Linked DNA regions of Elephas maximus indicus. The protein of the gene in region 3 purifies or fractionates together with the protein of the main gene of each other region. This does not show direct contact. Links are inferred from orthologs where the notes say so. Each region holds a gene or a part of one and is shown on either strand. Other genes may lie near its edges.

What was found.
Region 1: the proteins of AMFR (region 3) and TMUB1 purify together in Homo sapiens (affinity purification with mass spectrometry; 3 studies listed by BioGRID and IntAct, with this or other methods). This does not show direct contact. The link is inferred for Elephas maximus indicus from reciprocal best matches to the Homo sapiens genes AMFR and TMUB1.
Region 2: the proteins of AMFR (region 3) and ERLIN1 purify together in Homo sapiens (affinity purification with mass spectrometry; 3 studies listed by BioGRID and IntAct, with this or other methods). This does not show direct contact. The link is inferred for Elephas maximus indicus from reciprocal best matches to the Homo sapiens genes AMFR and ERLIN1.

Annotation. Positions count from the first base shown.
Region 1 is NC_064838.1:12,134,068-12,137,812, reverse strand, and holds the start of TMUB1 (transmembrane and ubiquitin-like domain-containing protein 1), read right to left. Parts: upstream 2,335-3,745; 5' UTR 2,250-2,334; intron 1,472-2,249; 5' UTR 1,442-1,471; coding exon 1,053-1,441; intron 760-1,052; coding exon 408-759; 3' UTR 1-407. UniProt on the Homo sapiens protein: Involved in sterol-regulated ubiquitination and degradation of HMG-CoA reductase HMGCR. Involved in positive regulation of AMPA-selective glutamate receptor GRIA2 recycling to the cell surface.
Region 2 is NC_064834.1:51,843,346-51,847,090, reverse strand, and holds the start of ERLIN1 (erlin-1), read left to right. Parts: upstream 1-1,081; 5' UTR 1,082-1,251; coding exon 1,252-1,508; intron 1,509-3,207; coding exon 3,208-3,289; intron 3,290-3,745. UniProt on the Homo sapiens protein: Component of the ERLIN1/ERLIN2 complex which mediates the endoplasmic reticulum-associated degradation (ERAD) of inositol 1,4,5-trisphosphate receptors (IP3Rs).
Region 3 is NC_064839.1:23,462,623-23,466,367, forward strand, and holds the start of AMFR (E3 ubiquitin-protein ligase AMFR), read right to left. Parts: upstream 2,489-3,745; 5' UTR 2,336-2,488; coding exon 2,090-2,335; intron 1-2,089. UniProt on the Homo sapiens protein: E3 ubiquitin-protein ligase that mediates the polyubiquitination of lysine and cysteine residues on target proteins, such as CD3D, CYP3A4, CFTR, INSIG1, SOAT2/ACAT2 and APOB for proteasomal degradation.

The DNA.
Region 1 (3,745 bases), on a different chromosome or scaffold from region 3:
CCCCTCCACAAGCGTCGCAGTCCCTGAGTCCCCAGGTCAGACGAAGGAGTATCAGGGACTGGAGGTGACTAGGTCCTCCTCTTCCAGAGCAGAGCACTAAAATGGGCCCAGTGGGGTTGCCCGACTCTGTCCAGGGCCTAGGCAGCGACAGCAGCTGCCTGACCCCGAGGAGCCCACTGTCAGTGGGAGCTGAGGGCCAGCAGCTCCAGGAGGGGGCTCGGTGCCATGGAGGTCACAGGGAAGGGCCTCTGCTGGCCCCCGGAGTCCTCGGCGGCGAGGGTCTGTGCTCCAGGACAGAGGGAAGAGGCAGGCCGGAGAAGCAGGCCTGGGCAGACAGCAGCTCCCACTCCGTCGTGGGGAGCAAGGTCCAGAGGGGTTGGCAGTGCTGCCCACTGCCCGTGGAGGGACTATGGGCGATACATGGCAAAGGCCAGGAGACTGAGAAGCAGAGTGAAGCCGGCTAGGCCCAGTGTGGCGGTCAGCGGAAAGAAGGGCCGGTACTGGATCTGGCAGTACCAGAGCAGTAGCAGCAGCAGAAGCAGCAGGGGCAGCAGCAGGCTGCCTATTTCCAGCCCGGAGGGGCCTGGCTCTGATCCCGGTGGGCAGGGGGGATGTGGGGGACCGGCCCGTGTGGACACGTGGCAGTGGAGAACACAGCTGGGAGGGAGGTGAAGGCTGCCCAGGGTCTGGGAATCGTCTCCTAGAAGTTGCCCTTGGTAAATGAGTCGAACCTGCTGTTCCCGGCCAGGAAAATGGGTCCTGAGGAGAGAGGGCCCTGGGTAAGAGAGCAGGCCTCAGCCAATCCTGGTCCCTGCCCTAGAACAAAACCCTGCCCCCCCTCTCTGCCCCACACCCCACCACCAGATCTAGCCTCAGTGGGGGCGGTCTGCTACCAGGGGACAAGGACTGGACCAGCATGTAACTTATGGACCTTGGTTCCTTCATTTTAAGGTAAGGGGGATGTCTCTGGTGGCCCACCCGGGTCTGTGACCACTCCCACCACATTCTTTAGCATTTTGCTCAGATCATCACCCCGCTGTGGCCCAGCTTACCTTTTCAAGGAGCCGATGGTGTCCTGGGGCCATGCCCTGGCCACCTGCTCTGAATCATTGAGGAATTTCAGCCGAAGCACAAGGGGCTCCTGTGGGGAGTCTGGTGGTGGCGGTGTTCCTGGGATGCCTGTGCCCGGCTCTGGCTGTGCAGCTGGACCTCTGTGTCTCAGGCTGGGGGCCTCAGCTCCGGGGGCCGCCCCTCTGATGCTATCGGTAGCTACCACGGCTTTGCTCGGCTGTGCTGAAGTTGGGGTCCCTGACGGCTGGGGCAGTGGGTCGGCCCTCTCGGCAGTGTGTGTTGAGACCCAGGCAAGGGCCAGCACCAGGAGGCAGGCAAGCACCGCAAAAAGGATGGTCACCTCGTCACCCACCCCTTCAATCAGGGCCATGGCACCCACCTTGCCCGCTGCGCTACCGAGCTGGAGAGGCACAAAGAATCCATGAGAGGCTGGCTCTCTGGCCAAGAGCCCTCTGAACGCACTCCAGCTCTCCCATAGCCCTTACTCCTCTGCCCCCTGTACCCAAGCCACATCCCGCGGAACAGACTGTTTGGACTCCCGGTCGCCACAAACTCCCCAAGGTGTTTTTCAAGGTGTCCCGCTCCACCACCAAATCGAAAGTCCTAACTTCAGGTAACCTGAGTTCTAAATCTCTTTAGCCAGGTCCCTAATTCACTCAAACCCCATCCCAAGGTAAGGACCCCGGTCTTCTAAGGAACTCCTCCCCTAAAGTCAACGCCCACCAAGCTTCACCCCACAGCTTATCTACTCCACCCTCTACTTCACCCCACAGCTTATCTACTCCTCCGTCGCTAAAGTTTCTTCAAGGGGGCGGAAAGGCCTCTATGCGCCCCCCGTTGCCATTCAGCCAAACCCCAACAGCTTCCTAAACTCCCCCACATCAAACGTCAAGCTCCGCCCCCAAGCAAGCGGCAGCCTCCGGGGTTTGCCACCCGCCACCCTCCTCGGCCCCCCCGACCCACGCCCACCCCAGCCCGCGGCGGGCCGACTCCGCGCGTCCCCGGGAGCCTCTCCGAGCCTACGCCGCAGCCGACCCCAGACCCGGCCCGGGGAAGGCGACACCTCACCCTCCCACCCCCGGCTCCTCCATCCACCTCCCATCTTCCCGCCCCCAAGCCGCTGAGGGCACAGCGATCCCGGGCGGGGCGGGGCGGGAGCGGGCCCGCGCGGTACTCACCGCCCAGCCCCGCCAGCTCCATGTCGGCCCGCGGGCACTTCCGGGCGCAGGCGCCGAGGCCGCAGGCACCTGCAGGCGCCCTCCTTCCCGGGCGGCCGGCGCATTGTGGGAGTTGTAGTCCGCGGACGGGCGCGGCCCCGCCCCCTCCTCGCGCCCCACGGAGGGCTTGGCCGGCTGCCCAGGAAGGAGGGTGGCTAAGGGGCCCGAGCGGGGCTGGCTTGGGGGTTGCGCTGGTCCCCAGAGGTTTGGGCGGTGGCTGGATCGACCCCTCCCTTACCAGCAACCGGGCATTTGTCCCTTCAGAAAAAAGTCAGCTGGAGCACCTCAGAGCGCCCTGTTCGAGATGCAGTAATGAAGGCTCTGGGGAGGTTGGACCCTATAGCTTTGCTGGCTCCTACCGCGGCCTACTCCATTGTTGGAGTGGACGCCAGAAGGCACCCCGGAACCCAGTACCCATGGACTGCCCCACCAGGCTGACTGAGGATACCACTCCCCAAGGCTGGTCCTTGTCCGTTACCTTGCACTTGTAGTACTGTAGAAGAAGCATGGACTTCAGAACCGCCAGAAACGCAGAATCCTTATCGTGCGTGTCAGCTATATGACCTTGGGAGAGTTATCTAATGTCCTTGAACTTAAGCTTCTTCATTCCTAAAACATACCTCATCAGGCAGCTGTAAATGAGAAATGAGATGTTTTACTAAATAAATATGAAAACCAAGTATCTGGACACAGTAGGTAGTTGCTCACCTGGTATCGGTGCACTCCGTCCACTCAAGCCAGGGCTCAGAAATTAGAGCGTTACTCTGAAGAGGTTGTGACCCCCAGCCTGGCCTGGACCAGCTAATTTCTGTGGGTTTTCCCTCCTTTCTTTAGGCTCCTCTAGCCACAGAGACCTCACTTCTTGGATGGTCAGTCTTGATTAAAAATAACCTACCCTAAGGTTCTCATCCACCACTCATTTTGTCAGTTTGTTGTACTGTGGTGGCTTGCCTGTTGCTGTGATGCTGGAAGCTATGCCATCAGTAGTTCAAATACCAGCAGGGTCACCCACGATGCAGAAATTTCGGCAGAACTTCCAGACTAAGGCAGACTAGGAGGAAGGACATGGCAATCGACTTCTAAAAAATTGATCTGTGAAAACCTTATGAATCGCAGCAGAACACTGATATAGTGCCAAAAGATGAACCCCTCAGGTCGGAAGGCACTCGAAATACCGCCAGAGAAGAGCTACCTCCTCCAAGTAGAGTTGACCTTAATGACGTGGATGGAGTCAAGCTTTTGAGACCTTCATTTGCTGATGTGGCACAACTCAAAATGAGAAGAAAGAGCTGAAACAACCATTAATAACCTGAACGTGGAATATATAAAGTACGAATCTAGAAAAATTGGAAGTTGTCAAAAATGAAATGAAATGCTTGAAGATAGATATCCTAGGCATCAGTGAGCTGAAATGGACCGGTATTGGCCATTCAAATCAGAAATCATATGGTCTAAAA
Region 2 (3,745 bases), on a different chromosome or scaffold from region 3:
TGCTAGCCTGCGCCATTATTGCCCACCTTCTTTACTACGCTAGTCTTAAAAACAACTGTTGCCATGGAGTCTACTCAGACCCATGGGGATCCCATGTGTGTCAGAGTAGAACTGTGCTCCACAGGGTTTTCAGTGGCTGATTTTCTGAAAGTAGATCACTGGGCGTTTCTTCCAAGGCACCTCTAGGTGGTCTTGAACCTCCAACCTTTTGGTTAGTAGTTGAGCAGGTTAGCTGTTTGCACCACCCAGGGACTCCATGCTGCCCATATTCCCTCTCATTTGTGTATCTACTGTTTTCCCTTGTCTTCTTTTACTGACCAAATAATTTCTGCACATGGTGCAAAATTTTAAAACACGAAAAAAATGAAAATGAAGTGTGTCGCCTTCTGTCCTTTAGTCACCCAGTTCCCCTTCAAGTAGAAAAAAAAGGGCATTCAAGCGTTTCAATTTCTTGTCCTAGCTTCCACACTTAAACCTGCTCTAGTTCGTTCTGTTCCCATGACTTGGATGCCCTTCATAAAGCCCGCACTGAACCAGCTTAGGTGTTCAAACAATAATTAATGGTAAGTAAATGATGCCGTTGGATCGAACGCCCTCAGCACTTTACTGGCAACAAGTCTGGGAGCTCCTCAAGTGCAGGGTCCGTGCCTGAAGCACGTGCTTGCCACATAGGCTCGGTATAAACCACAAAAGTTCGCAACAGCGACCACACTAAGAGGAAGCGGGTTGTCGCACAACAACATACTGACGAGTCAGACCTTTATCCGAGAGCCCCTGTCCTTTCCTCTGCACTGTTGCTTAAGCCAGACTATCGATTTCCACCCCTTTCCGGAGCAGATAACCACCACCCATGCACAGAAAAGGACCACCTCGGAAAGAATTGCGCGGCCGCCGGCTGGGAGAATTTTGTCCCGTCCGCTCCCCGTCTCCGCCCGCGGGCTGGCGGCAGCGTCGCTGTGCGTCCTCGCGCAGCCGTACTTCTGGGGAGTGGGCGGGGCCGGCTGTGGCGGCGGTTGGCGCGGCCAGAGAGGCGGCTGCACGTGCGGGCGGGGGGGGATGCGTCACTGATCGGTGAGGCGCGGCCGGGGGTCGGCCTCCCTCCGGAGCCCGCAGCGGGCCCCTTCTCAGTTAGTGCCCTCCGGCGGGAGAGCAGCCGTTGGGAGAGGGGGGGTGTCATGACGCTCACCTGCCCGGGTTGGCCCACGGGCCGCCTCGGGCGGAGGGGGAAGCGGTCTCTACAAGAAAGGAAAAATGATGGGAAAGGGGCACAGGACTCCCCAGCTCGGCCTGCGGTCGCGCCCCTGGTCTCCGAGCGGGAGGGTGGTCACTGAAGGGGGTGCTCCTGTCACTCACGGGGCTGGGGCTCCTTCCCTCCCTCATCCAGGAGGAACAAGGATGAATATGACTCAAGCCCGGGTTCTGGTGGCTGCAGTGGTGGGGCTGGTGGTTGTCCTCCTGTATGCCTCCATTCACAAGATCGAAGAAGGACACCTGGCTGTGTACTACAGGTGAGTGGCGTGTGCAGCCAGTTCAGGTTCTAGAGCAGATGGAAAGAGGACTCCTTTAAAGTAGAGTGGAGAAGTTGTTCCCTCTGCAGCGTCCTGAAGAGCGAGCGCTCCCCAGTCCTAGGAAGTGCCCAAGGGAAAGTATGGGCAACAGCAGCAGGCTTTTTAGGGTACCCTCCAGGTGTTTGACAGTGTTCGTCCTACATACATTTTGTTGCAGAGATTTAGACCCCTGGCTGTTATTCTTCATATACAACACTTAGTTATTTGTAGAAAGGCAAGCAGGCAGTGAGTAGTTACTCCAGCGGTAACCAATGAGATGGGTAAATTGTTATATTCCATCTAACTGCACAAACTTTTAGTTTGTAGTTACAGATGCTGTTTAGAGAATCCAGACCTGTTTATGGTTGTTTCTTGGATTTTTCCTTTTAAAGCCCTCAAGTGTCTCGCTTATGAGGCCTTGATGACCATGGCAGTTGTTGTATCCCTGGATCTTGAGGGACATAAACAGGATTGATGAGCCACCCTCCTCCCACCTTATTTTTACTTTTCGAGTTGAGACGAATAGTATGAAATATGTTACTGTCTAGTTGAGCTTGCAGAGCCTTTCCTTTAGCATAATTACCACCAGGTCCTTTTGATTTAGACTAGTAAGAGAGGACAATTTGTGGAGAAATTGGGATAGTGGTGTTTACAAAAAGAGCTTCAACTTTTTGCTTGTTTTTATCTGTCCCTCAACTTGGTATTTCTTCTTTTAGAGCCATCTTGAGTCTTAGAAACAGTCTTCAGTGTGAGGAGCTAGTTTCAACTACAATATTAGCATAAGAAATGACAGATTATTCAATTTTCTGTCTAGCTGAGCATTTTCTTCCTGACAGTGAAACCAAGGAAAGCACAATTCAGGGTATGGCTCTGAAAGAATGAGGGATGAGCCTTAAATATTTCATCTCTCCTTAGTTATTTGTCATGAGTTCTTTGCAAACCTATTCATATTTTCAGAATAATAAACTTTAAGTTCTATGAATTTATTATTAACTGTGTAAAGTAGGACTTTTAAAATATTTGCTCCCAAAATGCCTCCTTTTTTATAATTTTTGAGGTGGGCTTTCTCACATTCATTTGTTTGGAGAACAAGTCCATGTTCATATCCTGTCTACTTATAATCTTACCCCCTTACCATTCATCTTTCCATGCTAATTTTTTTCCTGTTTTTATATACTTTATACAGTCAGTATTTTAGTTTTATTGCACATAGATTAAAAGAATCTCGAGCCTCAGAAATTTTCTCCTTCCTTGAAAGTTTGTGTCTTCTTTTTTTCAACCCGGTGATTAAATGTTCTCATCTGACTCTCTTTATGTATGATTAAACTGTGAGCCCTTGGAACTTTTTTCCACGAGTATTTCTCAGAAGGTTAAAGACCAAGGAGATCCTTTAAACCTGACAGTGGTACAGGAGACCCAGAGGTATAGTTGGTCCAGCTTATGAAACAAGGTGTAACATCCAGCAGTTTGGCTTGATCTTTTCACCTTTTGGGGTGTGGCAGGTATTTTAGGGAGCAGCACTTGTTCACCATGAATAACTCATGTTAGTAAGGCTTTATTAGGTCAGTAGCATGAGTAAGAGTGAATATTTGTTTTAGCATTTTAGATTTAGAGAATTTCTCTCTTTATAATCTTGTCAAATTGAAACATCTTTTTGCAGGGGAGGAGCTTTACTAACTAGCCCCAGTGGACCAGGCTATCATATCATGTTGCCTTTCATTACTACGTTCAGATCTGTGCAGGTGAGTGATTCCTAGGGAAGCCCCCACACTGGATAGACAGGTGTAACAGGAGCAGTTACCACACTTGTGGGTGGAGATGGATTTCCTTATTGCTTAAGCAGATGGTAGCATTTACTTAAACGGAGGAGCTAAAGTTCAGAGTACAATTGTCATAGCATACGTTGTGATGAACCACCTCACTCTCTTGACATGCGTTAGAAGTATGAGCTAGGCAGCTTGGGAAGCTTGACTTTTCCCGTCTCTATTTTATAGTGGTATGCAGCAGGCTTTCTGTTAAGTATTTGTTGCTGCTCTAAAAATAAGAGCCAGAATTGGGAACACAACTAGAAATGCAAACCAGTGACTGCTTGGTTTAGAACATTGTTTGGTTTCCATAGAGGCAGGCTCCTGGGCTACTGTTATCATGGAGAATCTGGATTTCTATATGTACACAGTTTTTCTGTCTCAGGTTTTTTG
Region 3 (3,745 bases):
AAACCAAAGAAAAAAGGTGGAAAACGGTTAAGAAGATCAACTGAGAAATGAAGGTATTATCAACAGATAGGAAGAAATGATAAGGTTACGTGAGGCAACACTGCTACTGAAAAAGCTGAGAAGAAAGAAATTTTCTTAAAAATAATTTTCACAGAAAAATCAACAGATTTTACATAGTATTTGATGAAGAGGTATTAACCTTGGAATCTGAACACCGGCTTTGTAAGAAGAAACTCCTAAAGGAAAAAAAAATCATTAAACAATACTAGTGGTTGTTATATAAGTACAATAGCAGTTCTTTCTCAAAGGCTTTTTTATATCTCTGACTTAAAAAATATATCAAAGACTACATTATAATCTTAACATTTGTCAAAGGCACTCTTCACTTCAAATTGTTTACCTGCCAACTCAAATGCAAAAGCAGATTTGAGAGCAAGAGATGAGTTCTCTCTCTTCTCCAGTCTTTGGCAGCTTTACACAGCCGTAGAGGAATGGAACTTCACCCTTCATCACCTTCTAGTAATCTCTACATCAGAAGGACCAGGAGACTTCATTCCACAGCCCCCAGAATTCATAAATCCCACTGCTTCCTGATGAAGCACAGTGGGATTAATTATAACAAATGAGTTGTATATCATTCTATCAGCCTGGAATATTAATCCCTCAGTCATTTACAGGCTACTTTCAACCTCAAAAGGTTAAGCACTTGGCTGCTAAGGAAAAGGTTGGTGGTTTGAACTCAACCAGTGGCTCCGTGGGAGAAAGACCCGACTATCTGCTTCCCTTCCCTAAAAGATTACAGCCTAGAAAATCCTACGGGGCAATTCTACCCTGTCACATGGAGTCTCTATGAGTCCAAATCCACCCGACAGCACACAACAACTCAAGCCCAAATGGGAACCTGAGAAAGAGACAAGATCCAAAACGCGGATGTAAAACCCCCAGTGACTAAATCTTGGAGTCACTTTTCTGATCACTGTGGAGTTTATATAACAGGCATTCAAAGTCCAGGTGGAAGCAAAATTCTTTAGCCAAAATACAGTTGACCTGCCCAGCCTGAAATTATCTGTTTTCATAAATGAGACAAACACGTATGCCTTGTAAATGCTGCTTATCTTGCACTGGCAGGCAAGCTGGAAGTCTTGTTTTAAAATGGATCACTAGAAGGAGAAATCCCAAGTTAAAATAAAGAGCAGCCTCTTGACCCCGAATGCTGTGTTACCCTGCTTCCAACATCAAAGAAAACCGTCATGAATCATCAGGTAAGGGCAGCAAGAGACGAAGCACAGTTGTGTCCTTTTTTTTTTTTTTAAAATAAATAGCACCCAAAGAAGACGAGCAAATACCAAGTGGCAGTAAAAAGTTGTGAGAGACGGCCGCCCTCCCAACAGCAATGTCCAAACACAACGAAATGCCTAAAATTCCCCCATACTCAGCTTCTGAATTCTCCCATCCCTTGTAGCTATGAGTCGGAATCGACTGCACAGCAGCGGGTTTGGGTTTTGGGTTTGTTTGTTTTGCCCTGTCCTTTTCACTGGAAACCCGCTAATAACTTACTCATGCCAGACCCAGTCAGAAAAGCCTTTCAACTTCTGTCCACTTACTCTAACGCTCCCAGTAGCTGACTCCTGATCCTCACCTCCCCGCTGAACCTGACCTGAGGTCTTCTGATTTCCTTCCCCAGGGTCCCTCAGATACCCCACCCTGTCCCCACCTTTTACTTGCACCCCTTCCTCCCCCGAGTACCCTAACCCCTTCCCTGCCGTCCCTGCGCTGTCTCCCCTGCCCCGGGCCTGGCCTCTTCGACCCGCGCGCGCCCCCACCACGCCTCCTGGACACCTTCCTCAAGCCCCCAACTTCCTAGGGCCGCCCCCTCCTCACGCCCTCACCCCATCTTCTGCCCACCGCGGGCCCACTCCAACCCCTCAACCCTCTCCTTCCGCGAGCGCAGTCTCGGTCCCCCGGCCCCAGGCCCCCGCACACGGTGGTCCCGTGGGGAGGCCACGCCCCCCATGGATAATGGGTGACGGGGCGCCCCCGCCCCGCTTGGCCCGTCCACCTCTGCGGGGCCAGTGGCAGCCTCGCTCACCCAGACGAAGAGGCTGTCCGAGAGTAGGTACTGGGCCACGTCGCGGGCCCGGGGGCCCCCGGCGTCCGCCCGGCTGGGAGCGGGCTGCTCCGACTCGCCGGGCCCGGGCCCGGGCCCGGCCTCGGCCTCGGGCTGGCTGAGGGCGCGGTAGGCGCTGACGATGGTGCCGAGCAGGGCCAGGCCGCTGAGGCCCGTGTAGGTACGGAGGCTGGGCCAGGGGAAGCGCTCGAGGAAGAGCAGCGGCATGGCGGCAGCGGCGGCCTCCAGACCCCAGGCCTCCCCGCGCTGCGGCCGGGCTTCTGCGGCGGCCTCGCGAAAGGCGCCCGCGGCCTCTGGCGTCGCTCCCGCCGCCGCTGCCGCCGCGCCAGGCCAGGCCGGGCCTCTCCCGGCCGTTCGCGCCGCTCGGCTCCGCCCCGCGCCGCTCCCGCTGCTGCCCCTGCCGGCGCAGAAGAGCGTCGGCGGGCTCGGGGCGGGCTGCCGCTTCCAGCGGGGCGCGGGCCGGACGGGCGCGGGGGCGCGGCTTCGTCCCCCGCCCCCTGCCCAGCGCGGCCGCGCTGCCGCCTCCCAGGCCTGGGCCTGGGCCCGGTCCCCGAGAGCCGGCACCCAGCTTCATCCTCCACCGAGTCACCGGCTCGGCCGGGCCGGCGGGCGTGCAGGACACCAGCCCCGGTCCGAGCCAAGGCCGTGACTCAGGCCCTGGGGCGCTGACTGGGCGGCCCAGCCCAGGCCGCGTGGCTGCCCCTCGGGACGCGGGAAAGCCCGGCCACCAGGCCTGCAGCCACTTGCCCTTGGTACCCCTGTGGGCCTAGACTTCCCAGGTGCCTGAAAGAGGAGGCAGTGCTTGGGGAATAATAGAGACCGTGATCACAAAAGCAAGAGTATTAATCTGTAGTCTTAAATTTCTCTGCAATAAATTGTGTTAAATTTCTGCCACTTGCCAGTATTATAGTCTCTATCACAATCTAAAACGAACCTGATTTAGCACGAAATAAAAATGTGTCCCTTCATACACTGCTGGTGGGAATGTAAAATGGTGCAGCTACTTTGAAAAACAGTCTGGCAATTCCTTAAAAAGTTAAACATAAAGTTATCATTTGTTGCAGCAGTTCCACTCTTAGGTATATACCCAAAAGAAATGAAAACATACCAACCACACAAAATCTGTACACATGTTCACAGCAGCAGCAGCTCTAATAATCAAAAGTCCTTATTCATGATACATGGACAACCTGAAAGTCCATCAACTGATGACCGGGTAAACAAAGGGTGCTATATCCATGTTGCCCTGTGTCATCTATTCCAACTCATAATGGCCCTATAGCACAGGAAGGGTTTCCTAGGCTGTAATCTTTACCTGAGCGGATCCCCAGGTCTTTTCTCTGGCAAAGCCAATGGTGGGTTTGAACAGCCAACATTTCAGCCAGCAGCTGAGTGCTTAACCACTGCGCCACCTGGGTTATTTGGTATAGCCATGCAATGGAATATTATTTGCCTTAAAAAAGAATGAAGTACTGATACATGTTATTTGTAAATCATAATTTTCAAGGTTTAACAATTGAGATTGATAAACCTTGAAAACATCATGCTAATAAAAGAAGCCAGACACAGAAGGCCACATATTGTATGATTCCATTAATATGAAATGTCCAGTATAGG